Alligator mississippiensis: one gene and its partners. The protein of the gene in region 1 purifies or fractionates together with the protein of each later gene. This does not show direct contact. Links are inferred from orthologs where the notes say so. Each region holds a gene or a part of one and is shown in the gene's direction. Other genes may lie near its edges.

Region 1 (7,086 bases):
TCAAAGGTGGCTGGGAGGGACTGGGTGGTGCCCAGCTCATTTCAGGCCTCTCAGGCGTAGGCACTGCAGTGCTGGGGGCCGGCACTCAGCTCCAGCACAAACCCGGGCAGAGGGGTGATCATTGTGGTACCAGGCCCAGGCGGGTGCAGGGCAGCCCCCGCCTTCCCTTCCCCGGTGCAGCTGAGCCGCACACCCGTGACCTCCAGCACCTGCCCCTAGGGCTCCAGCACCAGCTACACAGCCTCCAACGGGTCTGCAGGCAAGGGGAGGGTTTTAGAGGGGTGGGCAGGGCCTGTGGGTGCCTGGGTTTGGTGAAAGCCTGAGCCTGGTAGTGCCAAGGATGAGGCCTGAGCGTGCTGGACAGGCTGGGGGAGTGGGGCTTGGCGTGATGGGTAGGGCCTGGGGTGGGTGAGAGCCTGCACCTTAAATCAGAAGAGGTGGGGCTTGAGGATGACAGACAGGCAGAGTGGGCGGGACCAGGGAAGCAGATGCCAGGCTTGGGCAACAGCCTGAACCCAGGGCTACAAATGGGATGGGGCTTAGGCTGATAGACAGGTCTGTAGCTGCCATTTTCCTGCTTTCCTGCCCACTGGCCGCTCTGGCATTACGTGGTTCCTGGCTGCATTGCTAGATAGCGGGAGCACAGGGCCCACACCAGTACCCCGGGGCCTGGAACAGGAGTTGGGGGTAGGGGGCAGTTTGCCTGCACACATCCATGCAGTGAGAGAGGGGGAGAGAGAGACAAAGCAATGACAGAGTATGCGTGTTTATAGGGCAAGTCACACACCCCACTATATACATACACCCACCCTCGCTTGCATTGCCATACACACAGACCCCCACACCCACTCCCCCTCCCACATCTCTGCCACCCTCTTCCCCACACACAACCTCCCACAAACCCCAAACCCACCCACACCCCACATATCCACATACACCCACATGCTCCCTCACCCCACGCCTATCCACCCCCACAGAATCCTCCCACCTCCACCCTCCCCCACACCCCGCATACCCACAGCCCCCCACAAATCTATATGCACCCCCTGTGCCCCACCCAATAGACAACCATAAGACTTCATTTTAAGCTATTATACAATCACCTCTGTGTAGACTCAGCAAGCACATGTAAATCAGGACAAAAATATTTTTGAAACCAAATTAATGCATGTTTTCAATGTTTGATTTTTAAACTATAGTTTGGTACTTTTCTGGTTCTGAGATGGCAAAACCCCTTACTGAAAGGACAGACAAGGTTCTTTTGGAGGCAAGGGGAAGGACTTGTGCATAAACGACCCGTGCCCCTGGCAGCTGGTGGGGCACAGTGGCAGGGGGAGCATGGCGACAGCAATGGGAGGACAGTGGCGGTGAGCGGGGAGCTCCTGCAGCTGCCACCGGCAGCATTGGCGGCAGCCCATGGGGATCGCTGACCGCCCACAGACGCCACTGGCAGTGCCGGCGGCAAGGTGGTGAATGGCAACCACCTGCAAGCACCTTTTTGGAGGGGATGCACTGCCATGCTCAGGGGGTGCATGTGCACCTGCGTACACCCCCTAGGCATCACCCCTGGACTTCTGGTGGCAGGCGGCAGGACTTCCAGTCCCAAGATGATGACCAGGGGGCGGGGCACCTGTTAATGGGTGGGGCTACCCATGTGGCCCTCAGCAGCTTGCCAGAACCCGAAAATAATTGCCCGCCCCTGGTTTAGATGCTGCAGCTGTCTATGTTGGTTCCCCCAACACCTCCCACTACCTCCCCCACCCACCTAAACATACCTGTAGGGGGCGCTGAGGCAGGGAATCAGGGGTCAAGTGAGGGGAACCAGCAGGGCTGGGACATAGGCGAATGGTGCCACCTTAGCCCAAAATCACTTACTGGGTTGGACTCGGGTGCTGGGAGTGCCTGTGGAGGCTTGCCATGGCCTGAGATGCGCCCAGCTCTGGGGTGGAACTGGCGGGAAACAGTCAGTGACCGTCTGGGACAGGAAGTGGGGACCTCGGGCCAGACACGGCTGGGGCAGGTGCTGTCATGGGCAGATGTGGAAGTGGCCCAAACCAGGGCCTAAGCAGGATTCAGCCTCTCCCTGCTGTTAGGAGAGAGATCCCAGGTGTCTGGGCTTGCACAACCCCCTGCTCTCACCCACCTGCCCCTGTTGCCCAGAGATCCCAGGCGTCCGGGCTCCCAGGGGATAGAAGGTGCATGTGTCCAGGCCCGCTTGTTAGACCCGAGGCTGCTCATGGTGCCAGACTTTTAATCGCTCCCTCTAGCGTCCATCCATCCATGCCTCCCTCCCTCCCTCCATCCATCATCCATCTTTATATTCATTCACTCCTCCATCCCCAGAGGCCCCCCCTCTTCATCTGTCCATCCATGCATGCTCAGATGCCTTCTTCAGATGCGGGTCAGGAGTGACGGGGCAGGGCTGGGGGGAGCAGGGGCTGCGGGTTGGGCGTGGGGGGCACGGGCTCACCCCAGCCCCGGCCCTTCCTGCTCTGTTGCAGGATACGTCTGGGGACGAAGCAGCCAGAGGTGAGAGCTCAGCCCCCACACGGCCGCCCGGATGCGACCTGGACCCCCGTCCGGCCCTGCTACATCGGGGGCCTGGTATCTCAGCCCAGCCTGGTATCTCCTCCCGCTCTTCTGCCTTGATTAGCCCCATGGCCACGAGCAGGGGCTGGGTCTCCCCACTGTGTCCCCCCTTGGCGCGATGCTCAGGAGCCGCTCAGGGTCTCTGGGGACAAAACATAGGAGGCTTCAGGAAAGATGGAGCCGCAAGGGCCCCTGTATATGTAAGAGGGCAGCAATGTGCTGGTTCCCCTGTTTTGGAGCTGATTTCCTTTCCCGGTCACCATCAAAAACCTCCTAAATGCTTGCGTTCGGCTGCATCTTTTAGGAAGTCAAGAGAAGAGGGGAGTTGTTGCGTGTTTGCAGCTCTGGCCGAGAGGGGGCTGGTGCAGGGTACCATGAAACAATGGAGAGAGGCCGAGAGAGGAGCGTGTGGGACTAGGCAGGTAGGTATGTGCATAGGTGGATGGATGGATGGATGGGTGGATTGACGTAGCGCAGAAGGTGGGCTGCATGGGGATGGATGGGTGGGTGGATGAGTAGATAAATAGACCGATAGACGTGTCGGTGGGTAGAAGGACGAGTGAATAGACGTGTATAGGAGCAGATCGGTGAGACGGTGTATCGGTGGCTGGAGAGAGAGGTGGGGAGCGGGGCGGGGCTCGGAGCAGGCAGGCCGGGCGGGAGCGGGTCCGTGGGCTGTGGCGCGGGGGGAGGCAGCCGGATCGGGGTCTCGGGCGGCAGGCGAGGTCCCGGGCCCCATAACATCCACTGTGGGGGCCACAACGATCCTAGCTGGTGCTCTGACATCACAGCGAGTGTTATGTCATCCCCTGGGCTGCAATGTCATCTTGGGTATGACCTCATCAGCGCAGGGCTTTGTGACGTCACCCACGGCGCTGTGGCATCATGAAGGCACCCACAGTGCTGCTCCCGTGACAGAGCCAAGATGGCCGACCTTGCGGTTGCTAAGGGCAACAAGTATCATTCCCCGCCTTAGAACCACCCAAGCCCCAGTCGTTCTCGAGGGTTACATTAGGATTGGACTAGTGCCATGTCAATCAAATCGAGTGGCCAATTATCTGAGAGAGAGGGCGGGCGCTGGGACACGGAGTGCCGTTTTCCTCCCCCAATAGAGTGTAAGTGAACGGAGATTGACAGGAACTATCTAGCCAATGAGAAAGCAGAGGCGGGAATTCAGAGGGACGCAACCAATAGGATTTAAAGGAAGGTGGGGTACTTTGAGCTCTCGCCCAATGGCGTTGTGGAAGAGGCGGGTGCACTGGCCCCAAACCCAATGGCGCTTGTAGCGCAGAGGGGACGGACCAAGTGTCATCCAACCAATTAGAGCGCGGGCTGGATGTGGCTGACACACCCCTTCGGCCAATCACATCAGGGGAAGCGGGGAGACACTCTAAGTGACCGCCAGCCCAGCCAGTGATAAGAGAGAAGGGCAAGACAGGGGCCCCGGCCCAGCCAATCAGCGCGGGGCCACCCCTGCAAGGCGGCTAAGGCGTCCCCGCGGCTCTTCAGTAGCTGGAGCCGGGAGCAAAGATGGCGGCGGCCGACGGCGACGACTCGCTCTACCCCATCGCGGTGCTGATCGACGAGCTCCGCAACGAAGACGTACAGGTACCGGCGGCGTCGGGGCCCCTTAGGCCGCACCGGCGTCCGCCATCAGCCCGGCGCTCAATCACGCGCCGCGTCTCATTGCCGCAGCGTGGTTCGGGGCATGAGAGGAGGTGCCTCATTGGCCGCCGGCGCCCCTCGTTGGAATGAACGCGGGGGGACCGATGTGGGGGGGCTCGTCTGAACCCCGAAACCCCTTCGGGGGAATGAGGAGCCCCTTGATTGGGCGGAGCAGCGCCTATCGGGGCGCCCCTCACTCCCTGGATCCTCTTCGGCGTGAGAGGAAGCCCCTGATTGGCTCAGAGCTTCGGACTGGGGTCAGTGAGGGACGCTGTTTGTTGTCGAATCCTGCATTGTCTTTTGTGGGATGGGACGAGCCCCCTGATTGGCTGGCATCCCCCATTCATTCCCGTGAGACCCCTCATTTCCTTTTGGGGGAGGTGCTGAGAGCAGTTTCTGATTGGTTGTTTGCTGGAGATTATAGAACCTATTGGGGGGCCTGATTTATTGCATTGAGGGAACAAAGTGTGTGTGGTGGGGGGGGGGGACAGGATGAGAGGAGTTGACTGATTGGTTCTTCCTGTACCCGTACCCCTGTACCTCTATGGGGGCCAATTGGAGGGGCTGTTTCACACTAGGGGTCCTTTTGAGGCGGGGGGAGGGGGGGTGATTATAATGGGTTCCTGCCTATGAATGGGTGGTGTAAGGCTCCTTCTTTTTAGGTGGGGTGGGCAGAGCCTATGGGACCAATCCTGGCTTGTTCCCTGTGGTAGATCCATCCTAGGAGCCAATCAGAACCTTTCTCGGTGTCACGCCTGGTCTGGTTGACTGCAGGAGGCTTCCTCAGCTGCCAATGACAGCCTTTCCCCGCTCTCCTGGCATTCCCTGCTATTGGCTGGGATCCCATGGTATATTCCTGCAGGGCGGGGCTTGTAGCAGCCAATCGGAGTTTTCAGCCATAAAATGCAGCCTTCTCAGCCGCCCGCCCCTCCCCGGGATGGGGGCGTGGCCGGCAAGGCTGTCCCACCTGGTTGGCTGGAGCAGAGGTTGCTATGGGGGAGGCAAGTCCTCCCCACGGTCTGTGGGGGGAGGGCAAATATACCCCCCACCCCTGGGGGGGGCAGTTAGGGGATCTGCCCCAGTGGGTGGGGCTTCTGGGGTGGGTGGGGCTATATGGGACTGGCTGGGCAGGTTGGACCAGCTGTGACACAGGAAGGGGCGGAGCCATGCAGGGGCAGGGACCTGGTCTGTCGCAGGACACCCAGGTTCTCTGCCCGGGGCCTAGGGCAGAGCTGAGGGTGGGGCCCGGACGCCTGGCTTCTCTCCAGCTCTGCGGGGGGACACGCACATTAGAGCCCCCGGCTCATCCTCAAACCTGAATCAATGCGCCCCTCCCCCCGCCATCCCCAATCACTCCTGACCCGCAGCCCCCTGTCCCCCAAACCTAGCTGGTGCCCTCAGGCCTCCCCTCCCCTCCTGCCGTAGCAGGGACCTGGTGCCCCCCGTGTTTAACCATTGATGTGCCAGCCGGGCCTCAGTGCCCCCGTGACCTCAAGGAGCCTTTGCCCATCCCCTGTGATCCCCACTCTCCCCACAGCTCCGGCTGAACAGCATCAAGAAGCTGTCGACCATCGCGCTGGCGCTGGGCGTGGAGCGCACCCGCAGCGAGCTCCTCCCCTTCCTCACAGGTACCCACAGGCCTGGGTTCTCTGGGAGGGGGGAGAGGCTGGGGGGTGACAGTCCGGGGTGCTGGGAGCCTGGATGCCTGGGTTCTTCGGGGGGGCAGAGGATCAGAGCAGGGTTGGGGGGCTCGGACAGCTGGATTCTTCGGTTGCTGTCAGCAGCCTCTGTCCCTCTTCTCCCCCCGCAGACACTATCTACGATGAAGATGAAGTGCTGCTGGCACTGGCCGAGCAGCTGGGCACCTTCACCGCCCTTGTCGGGGGGCCCGAGTATGTGCACTGCCTGCTGGTACGTGCCCTGGTTGCCTGGGTTTTTTGGGGGGTGGGGGGGGATGGTCCTGGGAACTTGGGCAGTGGAGCATAGTTGGGCAAGGGTGCCCGGATGCCTGGGTTCAGGGCTGGCTCTGGGATTTTGGGGCATGGTCCTGGATGCCTGGGTCCTTTCCCAGCTCTATATGGCCCGTGGGCTCCCCTTGCGGGGGTGTGGTGGTGCCCCCGGACACCTGGGTCTCTGTGGCCAGGATGGGGCCGGATCTCCCAGACACCTGGGTTCAGTGTTGGTTCTGGGAGGTGGGGAGGATTCTACAGGGCCTGCCCTCCCAGATGCCTGGGTCCTCCCCTGACCTGAGGCAGAGAGGGGGCAGGACTGTTGGGTGGGGGGGCAGGGCCTTTTAGGGGGAAGTTGACCTGGATGCCTGGGTTCCCCCCGGGCCTGCCCCACCCTGCCCTGAGCTCCCGGATGCCTGGGTCCCACAGCCACCGCTGGAGAGCCTGGCAACAGTGGAGGAGACCGTGGTGCGGGACAAGGCAGTGGAGTCCCTGCGGGCCACGTCCCATGAGCACTCGCCGGCTGACCTGGAGGCTCATTTCGTGCCCCTAGTGAAGCGCCTAGCGGGTGGCGACTGGTTCACATCCCGTACCTCAGCCTGCGGCCTCTTCAGCGTCTGCTACCCCCGCGTGTCCAGCGCCGTCAAGGCTGAGCTGCGCCAGTGAGTGCCTGTCATGGAGAGGAGGGAAAACTGAGGCTGGGGGGTGGTACAACCATGGTGGGGGGGACTGAGGCAGGGGGCAGGGTGATTTGGGGGCAGAAGAGAGGCTGGGAGGGGTGGGGATGTTTGGGGGCGGCAGGGCCATGGCGGGGGAAACAGATACAAGGGGTCATTTTGGGGGAAACAAGCTGGGAGTGGGCAGAGCTGTTGGGCTAGGGCCA
Region 2 (7,569 bases), on another chromosome or scaffold:
CTTAGGGAGGGTGCTGGCAGTGCTGGGAGAGAGGTTATGGGGGTGGGGACTGCAGCCACCCCAAATTTTGCCATAGTTTCTCTCCCAGTACCCTGCCTGCTGCCCCGAGTGTAGCCTTGAGCACAGCCCTCATGCGCCAGGAGCACAGTTCTGAGCAAAGCCCACATGTCCTGGGAAGAGCCTGGAGCAGCCCCGGCCCACGACCGCAGCCCAACTTGCCTGCACCCTGTGCAGATCCAGGGGCACAAGCCCCCCATACCCTCCCAGGGTGCACACAGTGGGGAAAGCCCCTCCCTCCTCCGTGCCCCACAGACGAGCCATGGCTCCATCCCATGCCCTGCCCCAATGGAGCAGGGGCAGGTGTTGCCCACTCCCTCCCTCCCTCCCCCTGGGAGGGTGTTGCTCTGCCCCCCCACCACACCCCTTCCTTCCACCACAACAGACTTACCAGCTGGATGCAGCTCTTCATGCTGCTGCGTTGTGGCATGTAGGTTGACATTATATACCTCCAGCACAACCAAAGAAGTGATTTTCCCACTCTACTCGGCACTGGTGAGACCACAGCTGGAATAGTGCGTCCAGTTCTGGGCACCACACTTTAACAAGGACACGCTAAAGCTTGAGTGAGTCCAGAGAAGGGCCACCCGTATGATGAGAGACTTGCACAGCAAGCCATATGAGGAAAGGCTGAGGGATCTGGAACTCTTCAGCCTGGAAAAAAGAAGGCTGAGAAGGGACTTGGTAGCAGCTTACAGTTACATCAGAGGCATATGTCAAGGGCTCGGTGAACAACTGTTCACCAGGGCACCTTTGGGGAAAACTACAAGTAATGGTCACAAACTTCTGGAAGACTATTTCAGGCTCAACATTAAGAAAAACTACTTCAGAACTAGGGTGTCCAGACTGTGGAATAAGCTCTCTCCAGAGGTGGTGCAATCGCCTACACTGGAGATCTTCAAAAGACCGGACAGGCACATTGCTGAGGTCACCTGATCCCAATTGTCTTCCCTGCTTGGTGCAGAGGGCTGGACCCAATGAACTTCTGAGGTCCCTTTCAGCCTTATGGTCTATTAATCTATTAATTTATTGGCCAAATTATCGGCCACATCAGGCCAATTTCTGACGCAATCAACTTTCTTTACATTGGTGCCGATACAAAGGTCTGGATATTCCACTCATCAGGTTATTGTTTGTTCTGCAATTCCACCATCTGTTAGTTGCTGCTCCTGTAATAAAGCTCCTGTTTCACAGCTCTGAGATAGTTTTTAACTCACTCCAACTTACATTTGAATATAAGTTACTTATATTTTTCTTGAATCTTAAACTGAATAATACAGTTATTACAAGTTATTCGACATATTAGTAAAGCTTCTAATTTATTTTTAACTAGAGAAAAATATGTGGGATGATGCACCTCACCATCAGCACCCCCTTTTCAAATTATATATCTGCCCATGGTTGTTTTAATTGTTTGGAAAGCAGAATGCTAGAAGGGATGCAGTTTCCCAGGTACAGCAGGCAGGCCCTACTGACACAAGTGAAGGTGTGTTTTACTGGGGCCTTTTAGACTTAGAGGCAACATGAATCCCAGTCTCTTCAATCTCTCCAGTCTCTTGTCATTTGGAAGTCTCTCAATTGCCTCTGTTTAATTTCCTGGAAATAGTCTCTCTGGAATGTCTCTGTTCCCTATAGTCATGGTCCTGCTCTATTTTATTTGATATAGAATGACAAAAAATGAACACATTATTCTGTGTACTACTGGCTCATCTAACAGCAACATAATATTTTCCAATATCATTTCCCATCCTGTTCCTTATACCAGAGACTCCAGAACTTTTCTATAGTGAAACTTTTTCCTGGAATTCCCACTCAAGATGCCCACTCGCATCTAGGCAGGATATAGCTGACAGCACATTTCCATGTACTAACTTGAAAAGGACAGGGTAAGTATCATTCCTCTGCCATATATACAAAGTGCCAAGTGATAATTTCTATACTTGATATATCCTGTTATTTATTTTGATTTTTTTGATCACCTAGTCCACAGTGCTGTTCCAATTTTTTCCCCAAATGATCCTAGTTAAGTTTGAATTTATGGCTGTGTCCCTGCAATAAAAGTTCTTTAAATGTTGAGCACCCTGCAGGACCTAAGAAACATTCCAGACATTCAGGCCAAAGTCCTAACGTTAGGCAGGTATGCACATGACTCAAAGATGCTGCATTCCACAAGTCTGGCAGGCGTCATCTCCCCTAGAAGGGTAAAGGTGATTTGCCCTTCATTCCCTTATCCAAAATGGCTACTGACAATTGTCTTTGCCCTAAACAATGATGGCTGTCATATATAACACTTATAGACTTTCTGCCCTTAACTATGATGGCCACTGAATGTGATCTTCCTGCCCTTATCTAACATGGTTGTCAAATTTCACCTCTTAGGCTCTGTGGCAAATGACAGTTTGCCTGAACTGAGCATGTACTTGTAAGTCATCTTTACTCCTGGCAATTAGTCTACAGTTGCAAATTCTGCACCAGAGCCCATTACAGATGCCTAGCCACCTGTTCCTTTTGCTGGTCAGAGGGACACTTTGAAAGGTATCAAAGACCCCAGAAGCTGTTTTGCACCCCCACTTTCTCCAGTTTGTTAAATAAGAACTGAAGTAAAAAGGAAAATATGTAGACTATAAGACAACACCGTGTGTGTTTGGTTTTAAAAAACTGTAATTGTAAAACCTACATACAGTGAGTGATCAGAAGATGTTATTTCTCTATTTCTGCTGTCCTCTAATCATTTTATTCCCCGCTCCCACAGAGTATAATTTTTTTCTCTGATGTTTTTTCCCCTTGAGTCTCATCATCAAACCCTCTTTCCTTTCAATCAATCAATCCAAGATCCTTCCAAATATTTAAAAGGATTTGTTCTCACAGGAATTCTGTCCTATCCTTTGCCCCATGAGCATACATTTTTCTACCATCTCCTTTTCTATTCTCCCCACCTTCAAAATGTCTGAATGTATTTCTAGTAAGTCAATCTGTTTATCCAATCCATTTGCTGTAACATTTGAATTTCGCTCACCGTGTCCCTAATCCTTTTATAAGATTCCTTTTCCCCATGACTTGCTACAAACAGCCTACGTAATGACACTCATTAAATAAACTTATTTTCTGATTGTGGGTTCTGGGTCACAATCAGATAAATTTGAGATATGTCAGCAAAATAAGCCTCTATTTTAAATATACCAATTTGTAGGTGATATGCCATATGCTTTTGAGTTTTGGAAACAGTGCAATGTCTTGAAGTTTGAAAATCACTACCATAGTTTCATACCTCTTGTACAGTTACCCCTCTATCACTTTTCCCTTTTTGCCTTCAAAATTATGCAGTCGTTTCTCATCTTAGATATCACTTCCCTGCTTCCAACACCGTAATTGATTCAGTGCCACCTGGCTTTTAGTCTCTTCCCTCCCCTAAGACTTCTCTTTCTGCCATGTCCTATGTTTTCATTCTGCTTTGACCTTTGTTACCCTTGACACAGTTATCCACCACTCTTCCTTCCTCTTGGGCTTCTGGCACTTTTCACAATTCCAGTCTCTCTCATTGATTGTTCACGGCCGGCCTCTCTCTCTTCATTCGTTGTTCTTATTTTTCCTGCCTGACCTCCACTTCCATCTCTCAGGGCTGTATCCCTAACTACCCTCCTCTGCATACTGTGTCAAAGGGTGATCTTATCTGATGGCCAGACTTCATTTTTTATCTGTATCGCTCAAACTGCCAGCGAGCCTCAAGGAGACTGAATGGCCAAGGGCCACATTGAACTAGTACTCGAGAGACCAGTTCCACCACTGCATTTTACTTGATTTTGAGCAAATCTCTTTGGCCTCAATTCCCCCTCTTTGTAAAATAAAAATACATACGGACCTGCTTTATAATCTACCGACGGAAAATGCTGAGTAAGAGGCGGGCATTGCACAGTGGATACCTAACTCTTTTTTTTTTTTGTCCTCTCCTGTCCTCTGCTCAGCCCTGCCTCTGCAATTATCCTTCCCACGTCTCGCTCTCTTGCAATCTGGGACTTTAATTGGGTTAAGACCCAGCCGAATAGATAGGCGAATGCCTTGCGAAAGTGAGACACGCCTCGCAGCCGCGCAGAGAAGAACCTCCGAGCCGAGGCCGGGGCAGGAAAACCCGGGGGGGGGGCAGGAAAACCCGGGGGGGGGGGGCAGCAAACACCGCTGCACTGTCCGCCGGTTTAGTTACAACGAGAAGCACCCTCCCCGACCCCACGTGGGAGAGCGGCCCCGGGCCCCACCGGCTCGCAGCGAGCTGAGGCTGTCGGCACCTCCTCCCCTCCACGCGCCCCGCACCTGCGGCCCGTCGCCGCCGCATGGAACACCCGGAAGCGCAGCCCGCAAGTGCGGGCACCACCTCCAGCGCCGCTTCACGGCACTCAGCGCGCAGGCGCTACAATCCCGCGCCTGCGCCCTGCCGAACCCGCGCCTGCGCAGAAAGTGGGAGGCGGGCGCGGGGCCTTCCCTTTGGTCAGGCCCGGTGCGAGCGGCTCCTCCCTCCCCCGGCTGCCCCCCCTTCCCCCGCCATCACCCGCCTCCCGGCCGCTGCCGCCGCCGCCGCACCGGGTAGGTTTGCAGTCACTATGGCGGCTGCAGCGGGGAAGGTAAGAAGGGCGGGGAGCGCTGCGGCGCCCGCACGGGCCGGGCCGGGCGACTCTGACGCCGTTTCTTTGGCTTTGCAGGTCGGAGGAAAGTTTTCGGCGTCGGCGGCCGCCTGAGCGAGACCCGGCCCGGTCTCCAGGCCGCAGGAGCGGGCGCCACCCGGATGCGCAGCCACCTGCGGGGCCCCTGAGCGCCGCCCCGCGCCCGGGAACCGCGGAGGCGGCCTCGCTCCGCGCCCCCCGCCGGCCCCCGGCCCGGGCAGGAGCAGCCGCGTCGCCCCCCCCAATCTTGGACCACTGGCTCCTCTCCAGGGATGAGGGCGGCGGGATGCGGCAGGTCGCGGGGACCAGCTAAGCCACCTGCCCCTTGAAGGCTTCGTTCGCCGTGTGCCTGGACGCTGCGCCGTGCCCTTCCCCGGCTCCTCCTTCACGCCTTTCCTCGCTCCCACATTGTGGGTGTCCAGTCAGCCTTGTTTACGGAAGGGGGTGGGGGAAAAATCGAGGGGGAGGTAGCCTGCATCCATCCCAAACAGAAGTCTTGGCGTGTGACTCATCAGCTTGGCTTTAAAGATCTCCCTTGCTTCGTTCAAAGGAGCGCACTCCTCTTCGGAGGAGCCCCATGGTTGTTCCTGTCTGCTCCGAAGAGGATGGATTGAAAGCTGCGTCTTCTGGGCGTCGCTTGAGGCACTGCTGATCTTCTTCGTGGACATGATGGGGCTTTTTCACTGGATTATTGCCAGGATTAGTTTACACACTGAAACTGTGCGTTGTTAGGCCTCGCTGGGTGCAAGTGATGTTTGTCTTGCGTTCATGTAAAGTTTCTGGAGATTTGGGTTAAAAATTGTGGAGGGTAGCCTGCATCAGAAGAGATTCTCTTCCTCCCTGGTTGTTGTGACAACCGCAATCTGTCCTCGATGCCTTCAGCCTTGGCCATCTTCGCTTGCCGCCCGAACTCTCACCCGTTTCAGGAGCGCCATGTCTACCTGGACGAGCCCGTCAAAATTGGCCGCTCAGTGGCCCGCTGTCGGCCAGCTCAGAATAATGCTACTTTTGACTGCAAGGTGCTGTCCAGGAACCATGCACTTGTCTGGTTTGACCACAAGACAGGCAAGGTAAGGCCATTTTTGCTCTCCTGGAGAGGAAAATAATATATGACAGGTTATTTTCAGCAAGTCACTGTACATTGTGAGCGACTTGTGTTTTTCCTTGAACTTGGTTGCAAACTAAGTTTATGCTGCGGCTAGGGTTTTGGGGTTTTAGTTAACTTAAACTCTACTAAAGGCAAAAAAAACTGAGAGCAGGGTTTGTGAAATGCATTAAGTAGTAGAGGAAGCTGGTGGATCTTCCCATGATCACTTCTCATTTCTGGGGATGCATGACTTTCAGGGAGGAGTATTTTATATAACTCAAGGAACTGAGTTATAAAACCTGAAGTAAGGTAAATAAATGCTCATCATGGTAACCATGAATAGTTATTGTTATTCTGGTGGAACTGGCATCTCGCCCCAGTGCTGTGTTAAAATGGATGTATCGGCATGTATTTTTTTCCTAATACTTAAATATATATCTGGTATTCATATGCTCAGAAGAATAACTCTTAATTTTGAGCAGCTGTCATGCCAAAAGGAAAATAGCGAAGGAAAAAAAATGTATTACTCTGGTATTCTGCCAATTTATGCTATCAACTTTTGAACAATATATTTTAATACTCCAAGCTGATAGTCACAGTATCACTAGCAGGAGCATTGTAGTTTAAGGTTTGGATTATCTGCTATCATTGCTCGTGAACTGGAATTAAAATATGCTGATGTGGTGTTAACCTGGCCACAGTCCTCTCGAAAGAGGACAGCAGCTAGCACTAAATGGAAGTTTAAGAGCTTTGTAATACTTGTTTATGTCCACTAGGGTCTGAACTGGAACAGGCAAAATCACTTTGCTTAACCTGTCAAACAAAATATTTAAACTGCTAACTAGTAGTGAGAGCTGTTTTCTTTCCCCTCAAAATCTTCAGTCCTCTCAAAAATATGTACTAAAAAGCATGAAACATTTTGAAAAATGGATATAAAATGGGTGTGATACTTTACATACTGTAATCTAATTCAGTTGTCTGATGACTGTCTTTATGTGTTCCTCTATTAATTACTCTTTTTATTGCTTTGTATTCTAACAGAATACCCTGAATAAGCTGCTGCACCCGGTTTTTTCTTTTTGTTTGTTTTCTTTATTATCATGACACAGCATGAGGACCAGTGCGATACCCTGACAATTCTTAAAGCTTCAGATGTTAACTACTATATGTTATGCAATACATAGGCATGATGGGACAGGACATGAGTTTAACTTTATTAGGTTGGGTTGGGGCATGACTTGTAGATTACTTGGGCATAATTGCTCATTAACCTATTATTTGTTTTGCTATTTTATTTGACGCGTTATGATTCCATGTGATGCTGTAGAAGAGATGCATGCTTGATGCATTGCATATAAGCCGTTTAGGTTATAACGTCAGTTTAAAGACCTGGGATGCTTTCAAGTGTGAGCTAATATGCAGTTTTTCTTGTTTGAAATAATAAGTTGGATGCAGTAACCTAAACTATCTGGTGTAGTCCAGCATTTTTGACAGATGCATTCCAATTTTATTCTGCTTTCTGCCTGAGCTTCTCGGTGCTTTACAAACTTAATTAAGCTGCTTAACACTCTTGTGATATGAATAAAGATGCCCTTTTTTACGCAAGGTTCATTTCATTCACAGGGAGGCTTTGATGGTGGGCAAATCAGCTAAGTGTTGGGAGAGCTTAAAAGATAAGCAGCTCTGTTGTTTTAGTCTAGTGCAGTTAGCTTTAGACTTACCAATGCAAGTAAAACATGAGCTTTCAACATACAGAATAAACATGAAAAAAGC
Region 3 (7,948 bases), on another chromosome or scaffold:
CTGAGAGATTAAAACTGCTGTCAGGACCCAGAGCAGGATAGGGATGCACTGTCCTTCCCCTTTTCCCTCTCACCTAATTCTATGCCAGAAGCCAGGACTGGCAGTAGAAGAGAAAACTCTCTGCAATGCACTGCCACCAAAAGATCCCCTTGGCTCTGTGGGGATCCTTCTGGGACCTGCCAACCAGTTTGACTGCAAGAAACAACTGTGGGAGCAGTGCAAACATTCAAAGGACCCAATCCATAATGTTTATTTTTGAGGAACAGGGAGGATAATAGGCAGCTCCACCTCCAGACACGAGGTTGCATTTCCAGGGTGGCAGGGGCATGGGGATCATCTTTGTAGAGCAGCCCATCAGATCTGGCAGTGTCAGTGGGACGGAATAAATGCAGGACACCAAGTCCTTAGTTTGATTATAACTTCACTCTGAAGGTCCTTTAGATTAGTTATACATATTCAGATGAAAGTCATATGAGCACATGCAACTCCCATTGAACCTCCTGGGAGCTGTGCTCATTCTTGCCATGGTTATATTTGGTCCTCCACTGAGAAGTTAAATGCTGTAGCACAGTGGCTTTTAGCCTGTGCTCTGTGGCCACCTGGGGGTCCACAGACTATGTCTAAGGGGTCCATGAAAGATGACTATGATCAATCAAAAGCAGGTGAATAGCCACAGTTATAATTCAAAGGGATCTGCACCTCCATTCAATTTTTTTTTAGGGGTCTGCAAATGAAAAAAGGTTGAAAACCACTGCTGTAGTACAGTTTGCCCAGCAGGCTGGATGGGCAGTGCCTGGTCTGTCCACGGGCTGGATGCCAGTCTGACGCACAAGTCAGATGTGGCCCCATCCAGGTGTGGGGAGCGGGATGGGGCAGCCCGACCTTGATCCAGCCATGTGACATAAGGGGGTTAGCCAGGTCCCAGCGAGGCCCCCCAGGGTGGGGAAGAAGCATAGCATAGCCCCATGAGGGGAAGAGGGTATGGCCTGGCCCCCTTTCAGCCATGATTCGGGTATGCAGGGGAAGGGGGTTTGGTCTGGCAGAGGGCATGGCTCAGCCCCACAAGAAGGGTGTATGGCCCAGCTCCAACCCACTGCACGGGACTTGGGAATCTAACATCAGGGGAGGGTGGTGGTATTAATCATCACTGCTCCCCACCACTGCCAAATTCCTGTGCCATGGCTCTGCAAGCTGCATGTGTCTTGTAGGCTGGAGGTTGAGCACCCATGCCTTTGCATAGTGTTTGTCATCCTTTTCCATACCAGGATCCCACATTAAAAAAGAGAATCATCAGGGCCCTCTCTCACCATAAAGAAAGATGTTATGCTGTCCAGGCTGACAAGCTATTCCTAAGCAAATATAATTATGTTTATTTTCATGTATTGTCTTGCAGTAGGGCCATAGAGCCCCAGTTCTGGACAAGGACCTCAGTGTGCTATGTACTGTACAAACACAGAACAAAAACTGTTTGTCATTTAAGAGGAACATGCACTCCTCTTGAGTGCAGCTGTGTTTAGCTGCTTTTCTTGCGACATCTGTTAATGTCGTCACGTTGCAAATGAATGCGGGCTTTCGAGCTGTAAGAAAAATCCACAATGATTTTGGAAAGGAGTGCTCCTAAAACAAAACTCAGTGGAGAATTTTTGCCTGAGCAGGGGCGCAGGATTAGATCTCATACACTGTTTTGAAAAATTCTTAAGATTCAGAAGTTTATTTTGTATTTATTTTTCTACTTGAGGCCACAGTTGGTGATTTTAAGGAAATGGAAAGCTGCAGGGGGGCCTGGAAAATTAGACTGGCCATTCGAGTTTGTGGGTATGTTTACTCTAACTCTGAGAATATGGGTTGCCCCAAGGGCAACGTGTATTACAGGTTGCTAAATAAATATATGTTTAAAAGCCTCTTTGTACAAATTAGATGGGCCTTCTTTATTCATCTGTTCTCCTTGTACACTACAGGTTTAAAAAAGTAAAATACAGTATAGAAGGACTGACTGCTGGTGCAGGTATTCCAGGAGTGTGAATAAGGAATAACTCCACTTGAGCCAATGCAGTTATACTGTGGACAACAGGAATAAGTGTGAGGAAGGTTAGTGCCATAATATTTAGAAGCTTAAGCAAGAAGTTAACTTTTTAGGAGGTGTCTAAAAAGGTTTAGAAAGAGGAAATGTTAAAAGGATCTGGTTAGCTTAGTCTAAAAAGAGCAGACTGAAGTTTATTCTAAAGGGGATGGTGGTGAATTACTCTCTGTGTCTTTTAAGCATAGAAGTTGTCATCTACTTGATTTGCAGCAGTGGCCATCCAGATTAGCTCTTAAGAAAAGACTTGCTAACTATAAGAATAGTTAAGCACTGGAACAAGTTACCTAGGGGGCTGTGTCTAGTTTTTAGGAACAGGTTAGCCAGACAGCTGTCAGGGAGAGCCTAGGTACATCTTGGGGAGGTTCCTACTTCACAGCAGGATGATGGAGCATATGACATCCTGAAGACCCTTTCTGCCCTGTATTTCTATGATTTCTTTTAATGTATGAATTTTGGTGTCCAACTTGAGACACCTTTAAGCAGAGTGACTATATCTTTCTTGTCTCGAAATGGGACACTGCTTCCCACCTCCTCCCCTCTCAGTTGTTTCTGAGTTCCTGTTTCAGCTGAGTGTGGGGGGAAGGATGCCGAGTGCTGGAACTGGGGAGGAGGGAGGGGGAAACAGCTCTGTGTTCATCAGCACTCACTATCCCTGGTGACTTCTGAAAATCCTGGCCCTGACCCTCAATGTCCTGAGCATGCAACATTCCCAATTAGTGCTAAGGTCCGTTGCTCTAAGGTCCAGAGCTCTAAGCTCAGATCCTAGGTACATTGAAATAAAAGTCTCCCTTGACTTCAAGGGAAAAGAACCTGGTCCTGTGGTTCACTGAGCTCATTCTGCTTTCAAGGCAGTCAACCACAGGTGAGGGAGCTCAGCATTTCATAGGATGTCACAGAGGGGACTATCAGGAGGATGTATGTCAAGCTCAGGGCTGTGCAAAATGGTCAGATGCAAACCCAAAAGCTGAGTTCTTGGTCTTGTTACTAACACGAAAGATGCCTCAAGTTTAGAAAGACACGTCTCAAGCATGGAATTTAAGTGGTGCTGGTGGTGATATTATTGTTAGACATTATAGATCGAAGTCCCGTATCCCTTACAGACATGATTGGGTCTTGCAGCAGTAATGCATTTGTCCCAATATCTTCTCTATGAGTCTATGTGACTGACTGGTATTTTGAGAAACTATCCTTTCAAATCCAAACACCCAAGTGTGAGGGAAATGGGTTTCAAATCTACACACAGCTCCAGAGTCAAAACTGGTATTTGGCCTCTCTCTTTGGAAAACAGAAAGTTTAAAACCTGGGTTCCCTTTATAATTTTGGTATTTATAAAATCCTGTCTTATGGAGGGACTGCCCAGCCTCCCTGTGAAACTGAAGATAGTTTCCCAGGGAAGGGTCTTCTTAATTTCACCAAAAACCAAATAAACTGTCCTGGAATTTCCCAACGCATCTTAGAACAGACATTTTTTTGGAGAGTTTGGGTTGCTTCTGCACAGCTTCAAACCTTTCCTGAAAATAGAGAACACAAGCCAAACAACCAACCACAACCAATAAACAACAGGCAATGAAGTATTTCTTCATGTACATCTGAGTGCTGCTTGAACCATCACGCATGAATCAGGCCGGGAAACCTTCGGCAAAACAGCTTCACCCTTATGTACCCAGCCTCCAGCCCAACCCCTGCTGCAGCACACTCATCGAGCTTGCAGACCAAATCCTCCCATTTGAAAAGAGGTTGGGATTTTTCCCTATTTAAAGAGACATCAGGATCAGGACCTGATGCCCCCTGCCTGCAATCAAAGGCACACTGCCAGTGACATCGGGTTGTCCAAGCCTTAGGGGAAACTGTAAATAATTGGCACGAAGCGAGACCTTCTTCTATATATTTTACCTGTGCCTTTAGACCACGTTCTGAGCACACGTGCAGGTATTGATCAGGGCACAGTGCTGAACCAGCCAACAAGAACAATGGCAACAGGAACTGATCCTCCCGCCTCCCTGAATTGAGCAGCAACAGCCCTCCCCTGGCAACCCCACGCAGGCAAAAGCATACACAAGTAAGTCAGGCCTTGCAAGAAATGAAGTGGGGGCTCTAGGACCCACAGAGCAGCGTCTTGATTAGGATGCACTGAGCTGTAAATTCAGTGTACGTGAGGAGATGCAGAAACAGGGATGTGTTTGTGGTGCTCGATACACCCCCCTCCTCACACTGGGGAAGTGAAAAGTGAGGAGCCAGCCCCCAAATTATACTGATTTACTAAGAAAGAGGCATATCTCCTGCCACGCCTGGATGCTGCTTGTTAAAGCTCGGCCAACTGCAGCTAAAGGGAGGTGTGGGTCTCTCTCCAGTGTCTGGTGAATTCGTGCCTGCCAAGGACCACGCGCTCCATCCTTGTGGACAGCCACGGCTGTGAGCGCAGAGCGTGCCAGGCAGGGCTCGAATGACACTTGGACCCTTGCGGGGGAGCCTGCAAACAAAATTAAACCAGTTCATTGATGAACAAATCCAGCTCAGCGAAGGAGCAATCTGCTCGGAGACCCCCCCCTCCCTAGGTTATAATTTCCAAATCTTATATCTCTTATGGGGAGCCCCCCCACCCCCAAGCTCCCCCTTCATTTGCACCCTAGTGCCACGCACAGGGTGCCTCAGTGGTGCACCCCACGCGTGCAGCAGCCAGGCCAGTGGCAGCATTAGCATGACCCCCTGCCCCTGCACCAGGCTGCAAAGGCAGCTCCTGACTCAGGGATCTGCATTTCTCAAAGGGGACAGCCTGGCTCCCACAGCAAGCCCCGCCCCCTTCGTGGACCATTGAGAGGAAGACCTCCGCGGTCCTAGAGAGGCCCGTCTCGTTTCCTCTGTGTGCTGCGGGACGCTGAGAGAGACAAGCCGGCTACGGTGGCGGCGGCGGCTCAAGCCGCGCAGGTGAAAGGTGGCGCCCAAGATGGCGGCGCACCTGAAGAAGCGGGTGTACGAGGAGTTCACCAAAGTGGTGCAGGTAACGGCCGGGGAAGGGACGGGAAGGGAAGGGAAGGGGGGGGGTCCGCCCGCCCGCACTAACAGCCCTCCGCCCGCAGCAGCACGAGGAGCCGGCGGCCAAGAAGCTGCGCCTGGCCAAGCCCAGCAAGTCGGCGGCGCTGCACGTGGACCTGTGCAAGGCCGCCTCGGCCGCCGACGCGCTGCAGCACCTGCTGCACTTCGCCCGCCAGCCTGTGGAGGCCGAGAGCGTCGAGGGCGTCGTCCGCATCCTGCTAGAGCACTACTACAAGGTGGGCCGGGCTGCGGCTCCGCCATCCGCTCCCTGCCCTCTCTCTCTGTCTGTCCCTCCCCACCATGCTGCGTGTCCCTTCCTGATCTGCCACGTGCCACATGCAGGCTGCCCGTGCCACTAGCATGACGCCTGCCACAGGTTAGCATATAACTACGCAAGAGTCTGATGAGCTTGTATAGAGGTGCTTGGCTGTGTTAGTCTGAATCAGGCTTTAGGTAAGGCAGGCTTCAAACATGGAGGCTCACTGGTTTGGAGAAGCACCAGCTTTCACAGGCAGCAGCTTCATCAGATGTGAGGAGCGTCCATTCCTTATGTTTGATGAAATAGCTTGTCACCTGCAAAAGATTGTCTCTCTGAACCAGTTAGCCTCCAAGGTGCCAGCCTTCCTTATTCACTGCCCATCCCCTGTATGAATTGTACTGCAGCTTTTACAACCTTGGTGTTTTTGTTGTCTGTTTCAGCAGACAGGCGAAGGAGTTAGCACATATTCTGCATATGCGCTATCTCCTTCAGGGTCAGGCTTTAGTTATTGGGGTAGCTTGGTGTGAGAGAAGCTAGAAAGTGATTGCTGTATCTGGTTTGTGAACAGGCAGATTCTTACTCTAGGCTGCCGATCTAGTCTCTGTCATCATCACCCTTCAAGTTAAGTTTTATTAAAAAACAAGAGAAATAACACATTTTGCTGTCAAGATGGTGGTCTTCTCCTTGGTCGTCCTTCAGCTTTGTCTTGCGAATCATAGCCTTATTGTAAATAATGGGTCTTTATTGCAAGCTGAAGCTTTGTTTCTGCAGATCCTTATAACAGTTTCGTTTTAAATCAGTCATTCACTTGCCCTGTTGAAGAAGTCATGAGGGAAGTTTCAGTTTCAGCCCAGGAATCTGCTGTCTGGCTGGAAAGAAAATATTTTGTAGGTGAGAGGTTTAGAGCGAACTCTGTTTTTTAACCCCGTGAATCCTGTTCTGTTTAAACAAATGATGTGGAGGCTCCTTATAGCCGTTCTTACTCGCTTTACAAGATGTTGGATCAGCTACACATGTTTCCCTCGCTTATGGTGTACATGAGTTCTTGGAAAACAGCACATAACTTGAATTTGCATAAAGGGGACCGACCTACTTTACAATGTAACAAATAGGGATACTTCCAAGAGCTCAACTGTACTGCCCCCCAGACCCACTTCTGCCACTCTTACAAGATAACTTTGGTATTCACCAACAGCAGACAGTACACACAAGCACAGCTGTGGCTCCAGAAGCACGGGCACCAGCTGCCAGGGCTCTGCGCTGATGGGACTGGACTAGGTCAGGCTGTAGGGGCTGGTGCTGTAGCCTGACCCAGGCACCACCACCCGGCTCAGTCCCCCCCAATTTTTTCTTCCTCTGTCTATGGCATCACTCCCACAATGCTCCGCACAAAGCAACTGACTGCAGGCCTCCACTACACTGATTGCATACAAGTGAATTTATCTTGCATATAATAAAGGTTTGGTATAAAAAGAGTCATTGCATAAGAGCGATTTCACACATACAGAACCTGCATAAAGCAAGGGAAACCTGTACTAGTTCTTTTCCAAATATGAATTTACAATGTTCTTAGAAAAAAGAAAACCCCACAATGTAGGGAACCTAATATATCAAGGCCCTGACCCTAAGAAGGTGTTGGAACATTTTGCCTGTAACATGATTTTCTCTCTTTTTTGTGATCTTGAGTAGGAACAGTTGAATGAAACTGTCTAGGTAGCATGCTTATTATTCGTTAGAATATGGTCAACCTTTTGGCCCTGTGGGCTGGGTGAGTAGCATGAAGCCAGTCCGCGGGCCAGATCTGTGCAGAGTCAGTGTCTAGATTGTGCCCTGTGTGGCCATTGCAGAACCATGCTATCCAGTCTGCTGGGCTCCCCATGGGTCTGGAAACTTGGCAGCAGGGGAGCAGCAATTAAGGTTGCCCAGTTCCCCTCCCACCATGAAGAGTCCTACAGACTGGATGATATGGCTGCTCAGGCCAGATTTGGCCCGCAGGCTAGAGATTGAGCACTGTTTGTATTTCAGGGGACTTATCTAGGGTTCAGATGCATATCATCTTGTTGGGAGCCGTTGTACAATCAGAAGGTAGATGAAATTCTGCGTAGATAAGGACAAGTGAGCCAGTGTTGGAAGGAACAGTTTTAAATCCGCACATGAGGCCAGTATTTCCAGTACTGAGCCTCTGCAATAGGGGCCAGTTTTCGACATGCACTAACTCTGGTTATGGTGCTCCTGGTCAGACTTTTTAAAGAGCCTGGCATCCAGCCTGCTGAACTCCTCTGAAAACATGGCCACTCACTTGGTGCCTAAATGGGGTGAGAGCTGTGCTGTTTTGAAAATATAACCTTTGAGGACTCTCCGTTTTAACTAGAACAGTCTAGACAACCTTTTCCCAGCTCTTTCACTTCACCAGGAAGAGGGGCTACAAGTCACTTCTGTACTGGTCCATGAGGTGATCGCTGGGCCTAGAGGGTAGGGTAGGTTTCCCTGGCTTTTCTGGGAGTAAAGGAAAATCAATTCAAAAGTCTTTTAAATTAAAAAAAATAAAATAAAATCACAATTCTCATTTATGAAAC
Region 4 (7,282 bases), on another chromosome or scaffold:
CACACCCAAGGTGCTGGAGGAGATGGAGGCCCGCTTCGAGAAGATGCGCACGGCCCGGCGCCGTCAGCAGCACGCCAGCTACTCGTAAGGGACCCCCTGGCCCTCTCCATTCCTCCCAGCTACTCATAAGGGAGCCTCCCACCCACCCCAGCATGCCAGCCACTTGTAAGGGATCCCCCAGCTATTTGTAAGAAACCCCCTTGGTATTCCAAGTGCCACCCCTCTCCCTCCCCCCCCCAGGACAGCAGGTACTTGTATGACAGTCCCCAGATCCCCACAGCATAACAGCTTCTCATAAGCAGTCACCCTAAAACAGCAGGTACTCATATGGGACTCCCTGGGGCTTCCACACCCTGCCCACCCCTCCCAGGCTCCATGCAGCACAGCAGCTACCCCATAAGAGACCCCCAAACCATGCAGCCTCAGCCAGTCACCTGTAAGCACTGCCTCAGGCCTGGAACCGCCTGTCCTCCTTGCTGGGAGTCCTTGGCAGCAGCACCTTCCCAGAGACCCCTGAAGTCCGCCCCCACCAGCTCCTCAATGCTCCCCTCCAGCCATGGCAGCTACTTCAAAGGACCCCCCCTGAAACCCTGCAAACCCCCCCCCCCCCCCAATTTGCCAACTTATTCCTCCACTTCAGGGCTCCACACAGTCCCTACCGATTGTGTCTGCTTCAGTTACTCATAGGGAATCCCTGCCCCCACAACCTGTCAGCTAATAAAGACCCCCCCAGACCCCTTGGGAGCTGCCCAAAGCCCCTGGCCCAGGAGTACCAAGCCCATGACCCTGCAGCCTACCCCACAGCCTGCTAAGGGGCCCCCCCTTGGCCTCTCCATGCCCCCCCTGGCCCCTGGCACCCCCTTCATAGCCCAGCAACCCCCAGGGTTAGGTCCCTCTTTACCCTGGGGACCCTTCCCCCCCATCCCGAGCCTGAATAACTCCTGCCTCTGTCTCCCCAGGTCACTGGAGTCACGAGGATAACGCCTCATCCCCTGGTGTCTTGGCAGGAGGGTGCTGAAGACACCCCCCCCCCCCCCCCCCCAAGTTCTGTAAGTGGCTGGCTGACCCCACCTTGGGAGGCAGGGGCCTCTTCCCTCCCACTTTCCCCAGTCTAGCTACCCTTCCCCACCCCCAGTTCTCAGTATGGCTGCATCTGCTGCTCCAGCTCCTCTCTGTACAGTATTTATTTCCTCTCTATTTAAAGCCCTTCCCCGTATGTGAGTCAGAGCGAGTGTGAATCCATGCGGCTGCCTTGCACGTCTGTGAGAACCAGAGGCAATGGGAATACCCCCTGGGCACACGCACATACATGTCTATATACACACACACACACCTGTGTCCATCCCCAGAGGTGGCTGCACCTCTGTGCCAGGCAAGGGGGTACCCTTACTGTGCCCCCCCCCTCCCCCTGCCCAACTTTGAAAGTGAGTGCAGTGCAGTGAATGGCCACTGGGTGGTGAGAGCTGCAGTGCTCCCCACCACTGGTCGTGCCCCTCACTCCTGACCTGCTGCCCCCACCTTGCTCCCCAGCCCTGCCGGTGCCCCTCACTCCCAACCCACAGCTCTTTTTTTTTTCCCCCAGCCTGGCTGGTGCCCCTCACACCTCAGACCATTTCTGTTACCCTGCCCCAAACCCCCTGTTACCCCTTCTGGAGCAGGGGACCCAAGCATCTATGAGCCTCCTGCAAGGGTGTAGCAAGCCCTGCTCAGCCCCCCACATATTGGCTGTGGGAGAAGGGGCCAGGCCTGGGAAATGGGGCCCTGCCCCACTCCCCAGCACTAACTCAACTCCCCCCCCCCCAGGTGCCTGGTTTGGTCCAGCGGCTCTGGTGCCTGGGAAAGCGCTTGAAATTCCTAAGGGGGGGGTGGAAGGGGGAGGGGGGGCCAGCAGCCGGGATGCCTGGGTTTTCTCCCCACTCTGGGAGGGGAGCAGAGCCTGTCTCCTGGCAAGCCAATACCTGGGCCCTGCAGATTGTGCTTGGATCGTGTCTCTGTGAATAAAGGTGTGAGCGAGTCCGTGACATACTGATCCCTGTCGTTTGTGTTGCCAGTATCTCGTGTGACCTGCCGAGGCTGCAACACCCCTCTAGCAGGCTGGGCTGAGAGTGGAGTGTCCCCTGCTTCTCTCCCTCCCTCCCTCCCAGCTTGGCATCACCCAGGACCTGGAGCTGAGCAGGTTGGGATCCCCTACCCACCAGCCTTGTGGACCTCTGTGCATCTCCCCTGGGGAGGGACTTCCAGGTGCTGACAGTGAACAGATCCTATGGAAACAGGGCTGGGACAGCCAGGGGCACTGGCTGCCTGGGAGGGGAGTTGCAGGGATAGGGCAGTATCTTGCCTCTCTGAGTGGGCACCATGCCGAGGAAATGGGGGCACCAGCTGGCTGGAGGAGGGGAATATTTTTTGTCTGCTAGTTCCATCCAAAAGCTAACCCCCTTCCCTACCTTCTCCCAAGCCTCATGGTAGTGGCCTGATGATCACCTGGGCATCCTTGTGTGCATTCATGCAACACTAGTTTGAGGAGGAGGGTGGCAAATGGACATCTGTATGCAACAAAGGCACCTGAGGTGAGCAGAGGTGCACTGTGGGAGTTCATGGGCCACTGCTGTCCCACACTGCAGGGCTGGTGGTGTGTTTCCTTGTGTTGCACATGCTAGTGAATGGCTGGGGGCATCGGTCAGTTGTCTCCTGCCCCTTCTGGGGGGGCACCCCTCCCCACCCATCTTGTCCCCTGGCTTACAGGTTTCAGGCCTGGTTCTTGGTTTTGCTGAGGGTGGGGGCTGGGTGGATGTTGTGGGGCAAAGGGACCCTGGCCTCTAGGGTGGAGATCAGACCAAGGCTTGATGCAGACTGTAAAGGACTGTTTAAGCAGCTGGAGCTGCAGGATCTCCGTACTATCAGAAGAGTCTGCCCGTGCCATGAGGCTGCATGCGAAGGTGTGACACTATGTGAAAGCATGTGCTCTGGATCAGTGTTATGCTTGTGACTCCTGCTGCTGTTGCTGCTCCTGCCCTCCCTGCCCCCAGAGCCCTTCCAGGTACATGTGTGCCCTGTGTGGTGGGGGTGAAGCAAGTCATGTGCGTGGAGGCCTCCAGCTTTCATGGGTTTCATTGTGTTGCACTCTATTTGTTGCACATGTCTTGGGTTCTTGTGCATTGCATGTTCCGCATGTTGCACGTGTCTTGGGTTTCTGTGGGTTGCTCCACTGTTCTGCATGTCACACATGTCTTGGGGCTCCTGTGGGTCACACTGTGGTGTATTCTGCGTGTCACATGTCTGACTTGGGCTCTGGTGCATCACACTTTGGCATATTCTGCAACATACGTGTGTCTTGGGCTCTTGTGGATCACACCTTGGAGTGTTATAGGTGTCAAGCATCTCAGGCTCTTGTGGGTCACATCATGGTGTGTTCTGCCTGATACACATGTGCCTCACTCTTGTGCATTGCACCATGGAGTGTTGTGCATTTGGTGTGTGCAGGCTGGTGTGTTTCTCTGCACCAGGGCTGCTGATCCACCATCTTCCCAGGCTCCTCCTGCTGATCTGTGTGACAGCAGTGCACTTGTGGACATGGGGCAGTGGGGTGTGGAGCTCTCCAGGGTGGCACAAAAGTGCCTGTTTCTCCTGTGGGGTTGCAAGTGTGTTCTGGTGTTTCATGGGCTACTGCTAACCCCCACGGGGCCTGGTGTGTCCTTGTGTTGCATGTGCTAGTGAACCTCCTGTGCTGGCACGACCTGGTGTGCTTCTGTTGTGTGGCATGTTTCCTGGAGTGTGCCCACGGTGTGGTGTTTGTCTGTGGTCTGGTGTGTGCCCATCACGTGGCGCGTAGCCATGGCCTGGCGTTTCCCTGGGTTGCACGTGTCCGTGGCTCTTCGTGCGCGCCCTGGTAAAGGCGCTGGTGCCCTCCTGAGCCAGGAGCACCCACTCCCCCGCCCCGCAGCCCCCAGCCCCTCCCCCGCTACCAGCCACCCACCGGATGACATCATCCTCAAACCTAACCCCGCCCCCCAGTCTCTCCATTGGCCTGCAGCTTCCCCCCCCACACGCCCCATTGGCCGGCTAGCTCTGCCACTTGGAACCCCACCGCCCCCTCCCACCCCCGCGCGGGGGCGGGGCTGAGGGGCTGCCCCGGCGTTTCTCCGGCTCTCATTGGGTGGCGGCACTGTCCGTCAGGGATCTCTTAAAGGGGCCGGTGGGGAGGGGGGAGGGGGCTCCGCCTGCCGGCGCTCGGCGCTGGGGAGGGGGCGGCATGGCGCGGGGCAGCGGCGTCCTGCGGGGCGCGGGGGCAGCGGCGGGCAGCGGCGCCTGAGTGGGCGCGGGGGGAGCGACCCCCTCCATCCCCCTGCAGCCCAGCCCGGCCCGGCCCGGCCCGGCCCGCCGCAGCGTCCGCACCGGCAGTGCAGAGGTAGGGCCGGCGTCCCCGCCCCACCCCGAACACCCTGCCCCTGCCCCGCCGTGTGCCCGGCTCCCCCGCGCCCACACTGCCCCCAGCGCACCTCGGTGCCCCCCTCCCCTCATGCCCGGTGGCTCACCCCTTCTCGGCCCGCACCTCCGGGCACCCGCATCGCGCACAGCCCGGCCCCCTGCAGCCGCTGCTCGTCCGCACCCCCCGGAGCCCCCCAGCCCGGCCTCCCAGTGCCCACCCTGTGCACCTTCCCCCTCCGCGCCCCCACACGGATGGCTCTGCCCGGTCCCTGCACCCACTGCCTGTCCTCCCCAACCCCCACTGCACCTGCCTGCCCCCCAGGCACCTCCATTGCCCACACCACACTGCACCCTGCCAGTGCCCTCTTTGTACCTCTGCACTGCCACCCCATGCACCTCCATCCCATCCTGCCCGAAAGCTCACTGCTGAGCGTTGACTTGAGCCCTGCCCCCCCCACCATGTACCTGCCCTGGACCCCCTCCCTGCACCCTATTGCCCATCCCCCATGATGTATCTGCCTAGGCCTGGGCCCCACCCGTGCACCCCCAACCCATCTGCCTCCCTCCTGCACCTATTGCCCATGCCCTGCAACCCCCATCACACAGGCTTTGCCCCATACCCCCCACAACATCATCCAGTCTATGCTGTTCCTACCCCAGCCCTGATTTTCCCCCCACACCCCAGCCTGGGGTCCCTTCTAGGGGGTGGTGGCTACGCTGTCCCTTGGCTTCCTCCCTTACAGGAGCTTCCCCCCACCAAGTCTGCAGGGCGATGGAGTCTGTGTCTGCAGCTAGGCTGGGAGGAGGGGTCTGGCTTTCAGGGTGCCAGGCAGTATCTCTGTCTTCCCCTCCTCCCCCTCCCCCACAGCCTGGCTGGGGGGGGCGGCTTAGAGCCCCGTGGACCCCCCCACATTCATCTCCTTGTGGGGCTGGCAGGGAGGAGGAAGGGGGGCATCTGTGCTGGGAAGAGGCCTTGGGCCAGGGTGGATTCTTTGCTGGGGGGGATCTTTGCTCCCCAGAAAGGGCCCCAGGCTCAGACCCTGCTCCCTGCCCCCCTTCTCAAAGTCTGCACACATCCCTCTGCCACCTCAGTCAGGTGTGAACAGGTGCAAAGGGGAAGGAGAGCCCCTCCCCTGCTCATGCTTGCTGAGGGTGGAGGGGGGGGCATGTGGACTCAGGCTTGCATGCATTCACACAGCCCTGCACACGCGTGTATGTTGCCCTACACTTGTGCCCACTCACATGCCACAGACCCGCTTGTGCACTGTATCCATGATGTGGGGGTGCATGCGCTGGCATCGGTCCCTTTCCATGTTCTCTGGGACATGCATGGTGCTGTTGTGACACACCATTGGTGCGACACCTGTATGCTGGCATAAGCTGGGAGGCAGTGTTGGCATGATGTGTGTAGGTGGAGTCTCCACACCTTGTGCAACACATGTGCGGCATCACAGACATGCTAGTGTGCTATTGGTGTGATGCGTACACCATGGGTGTGATATCCTTTTGCACATGCTGGGGCACTATTGCTGTGGCACCCTGGTGTATGATTGCTCCGTGGCCCACATGCCAGTGCATGCACTGATACTGTGTTGGTATATGATACATGCTTGTGTCTGGAAGCGGGGAGGGGGGTGTCTGGAAGTCCAAAGCCTTGAGGATCACAGGAGCCAGAGGGGAGGGTCCTGGAGTGATTGTGGTATGGCTGAGGGTGCACAGGCATGTCTGTATGTGTTGGGCCTCTGTGCATGAGGGCACTGGTGTGTTTCTGCATGTGGGGTCATATCTGTAGGTACACAGGGATCTGTGTGTATGTGGAAGGAGACTATCTCCATGAGGATGCAAGGGGCTCAAACCAGCTGTGGTGTGCCCAAGTGTGCCCGCATGTCAGTGACTGTGTGCGTCCCGGCCTGTGTTGGTGCCCAGGCCCCAGTGTGTGGCAGTTGCACATGTTGCTGTTGGGGAGGAATGAGGTATGTGCATCAAGGGCATGCATGTGCAGATGTGCCATGGTCCTAATGCATGTGTGTAAGTTGGCACACAGGACCAAAGTTGACTGGAGCATGTTGCCGTGTGGTTCTGTCCTTCAGCCCCCTGTGAAGTAGGGTGCACCTGAGTGTGTGTGTGTGCGTGCACGTGCGCACACATATGCTTGAGCCCCCATGTCTGTGCGTGTGTGTGCATGTGTGCATGTGTCCCTGCATGTGCACGAGTCCCCAAGTGTTCACTAGGATTTGTACAAGCACCCTTAGGAATCATATGTGTGTGTTTGCACATGTGTGGCTCTGCATACCGTGTGGCATGGGCCCCTGAGGACTTGGGTGCACATGTGTGGTTCTGTGTACCAGGCTCTGCAGTGGTCTGAGGAAACTGTAAACACCTTGGAGTTTGCATGGGTGTGTTGTATGTCTGTGTGAACATGTGTGGCCCTACATGCCACATTGTGCCAGGTCCCAGGTAGCTGTGTGTGTGTGATCACATTTGCTTGCATGTGTGTGATCACATGTTTGCACCTGCATAGGTGGCTTCGTGTGCAGTGTTGTGCAGGGCCCAGGGGAGCTGGGTGTGTTTGTGTGTGTGCACATGTGTTTGCCCATGGCTCCATGCACTGCTTTATTCATGGAACTGGGTGCCTGCATGCCTACCTGTGCATTGGTGTATCCATGTGCAAGAGAGCAAGTGTGCTGCAGCATACAAAGCCCTGAGGCCTTGTGCATACATGTAAATGTGTGCACTGTGCTGTGCAAAGCCGCAGGGAGCTGCTGGGGACTGTGTGTTCACACAAGCACATGCATGTTGTGCAAGACCTGAAGGAGCTGTGCTGGTTCATGCACACGTGTCCTATGTGGCAAGGCTC

Evidence for each region.
Region 2: the proteins of PPP2R1A (region 1) and SLMAP purify together in Homo sapiens (co-immunoprecipitation; 5 studies listed by BioGRID and IntAct, with this or other methods). This does not show direct contact. The link is inferred for Alligator mississippiensis from reciprocal best matches to the Homo sapiens genes PPP2R1A and SLMAP.
Region 3: the proteins of PPP2R1A (region 1) and INTS4 purify together in Homo sapiens (affinity purification with mass spectrometry; 3 studies listed by BioGRID and IntAct, with this or other methods). This does not show direct contact. The link is inferred for Alligator mississippiensis from reciprocal best matches to the Homo sapiens genes PPP2R1A and INTS4.
Region 4: the proteins of PPP2R1A (region 1) and PPFIA3 purify together in Homo sapiens (affinity purification with mass spectrometry; 4 studies listed by BioGRID and IntAct, with this or other methods). This does not show direct contact. The link is inferred for Alligator mississippiensis from reciprocal best matches to the Homo sapiens genes PPP2R1A and PPFIA3.

The regions. Positions count from the first base shown.
Region 1 is NC_081838.1:29,895,006-29,902,091, reverse strand, and holds the start of PPP2R1A (serine/threonine-protein phosphatase 2A 65 kDa regulatory subunit A alpha isoform), read left to right. Parts: upstream 1-4,083; 5' UTR 4,084-4,119; coding exon 4,120-4,197; intron 4,198-5,791; coding exon 5,792-5,882; intron 5,883-6,064; coding exon 6,065-6,165; intron 6,166-6,632; coding exon 6,633-6,865; intron 6,866-7,086. UniProt on the Homo sapiens protein: The PR65 subunit of protein phosphatase 2A serves as a scaffolding molecule to coordinate the assembly of the catalytic subunit and a variable regulatory B subunit.
Region 2 is NC_081835.1:20,914,127-20,921,695, reverse strand, and holds the start of SLMAP (sarcolemmal membrane-associated protein), read left to right. Parts: upstream 1-4,552; 5' UTR 4,553-4,632; exon of another isoform or gene 4,633-4,748; 5' UTR 4,749-5,581; coding exon 5,582-5,779; intron 5,780-7,569. UniProt on the Homo sapiens protein: Associates with the striatin-interacting phosphatase and kinase (STRIPAK) core complex, forming the extended (SIKE1:SLMAP)STRIPAK complex.
Region 3 is NC_081824.1:465,164,242-465,172,189, forward strand, and holds the start of INTS4 (integrator complex subunit 4), read left to right. Parts: upstream 1-4,934; 5' UTR 4,935-5,024; coding exon 5,025-5,078; intron 5,079-5,157; coding exon 5,158-5,349; intron 5,350-7,948. UniProt on the Homo sapiens protein: Component of the integrator complex, a multiprotein complex that terminates RNA polymerase II (Pol II) transcription in the promoter-proximal region of genes.
Region 4 is NC_081828.1:39,864,005-39,871,286, reverse strand, and holds the start of PPFIA3 (liprin-alpha-3), read left to right. Parts: upstream 1-4,271; 5' UTR 4,272-4,405; intron 4,406-7,282. Other genes in the region: LIN7B (protein lin-7 homolog B), read left to right, coding at 1-84, 960-981. UniProt on the Homo sapiens protein: May regulate the disassembly of focal adhesions. May localize receptor-like tyrosine phosphatases type 2A at specific sites on the plasma membrane, possibly regulating their interaction with the extracellular environment and their association with substrates.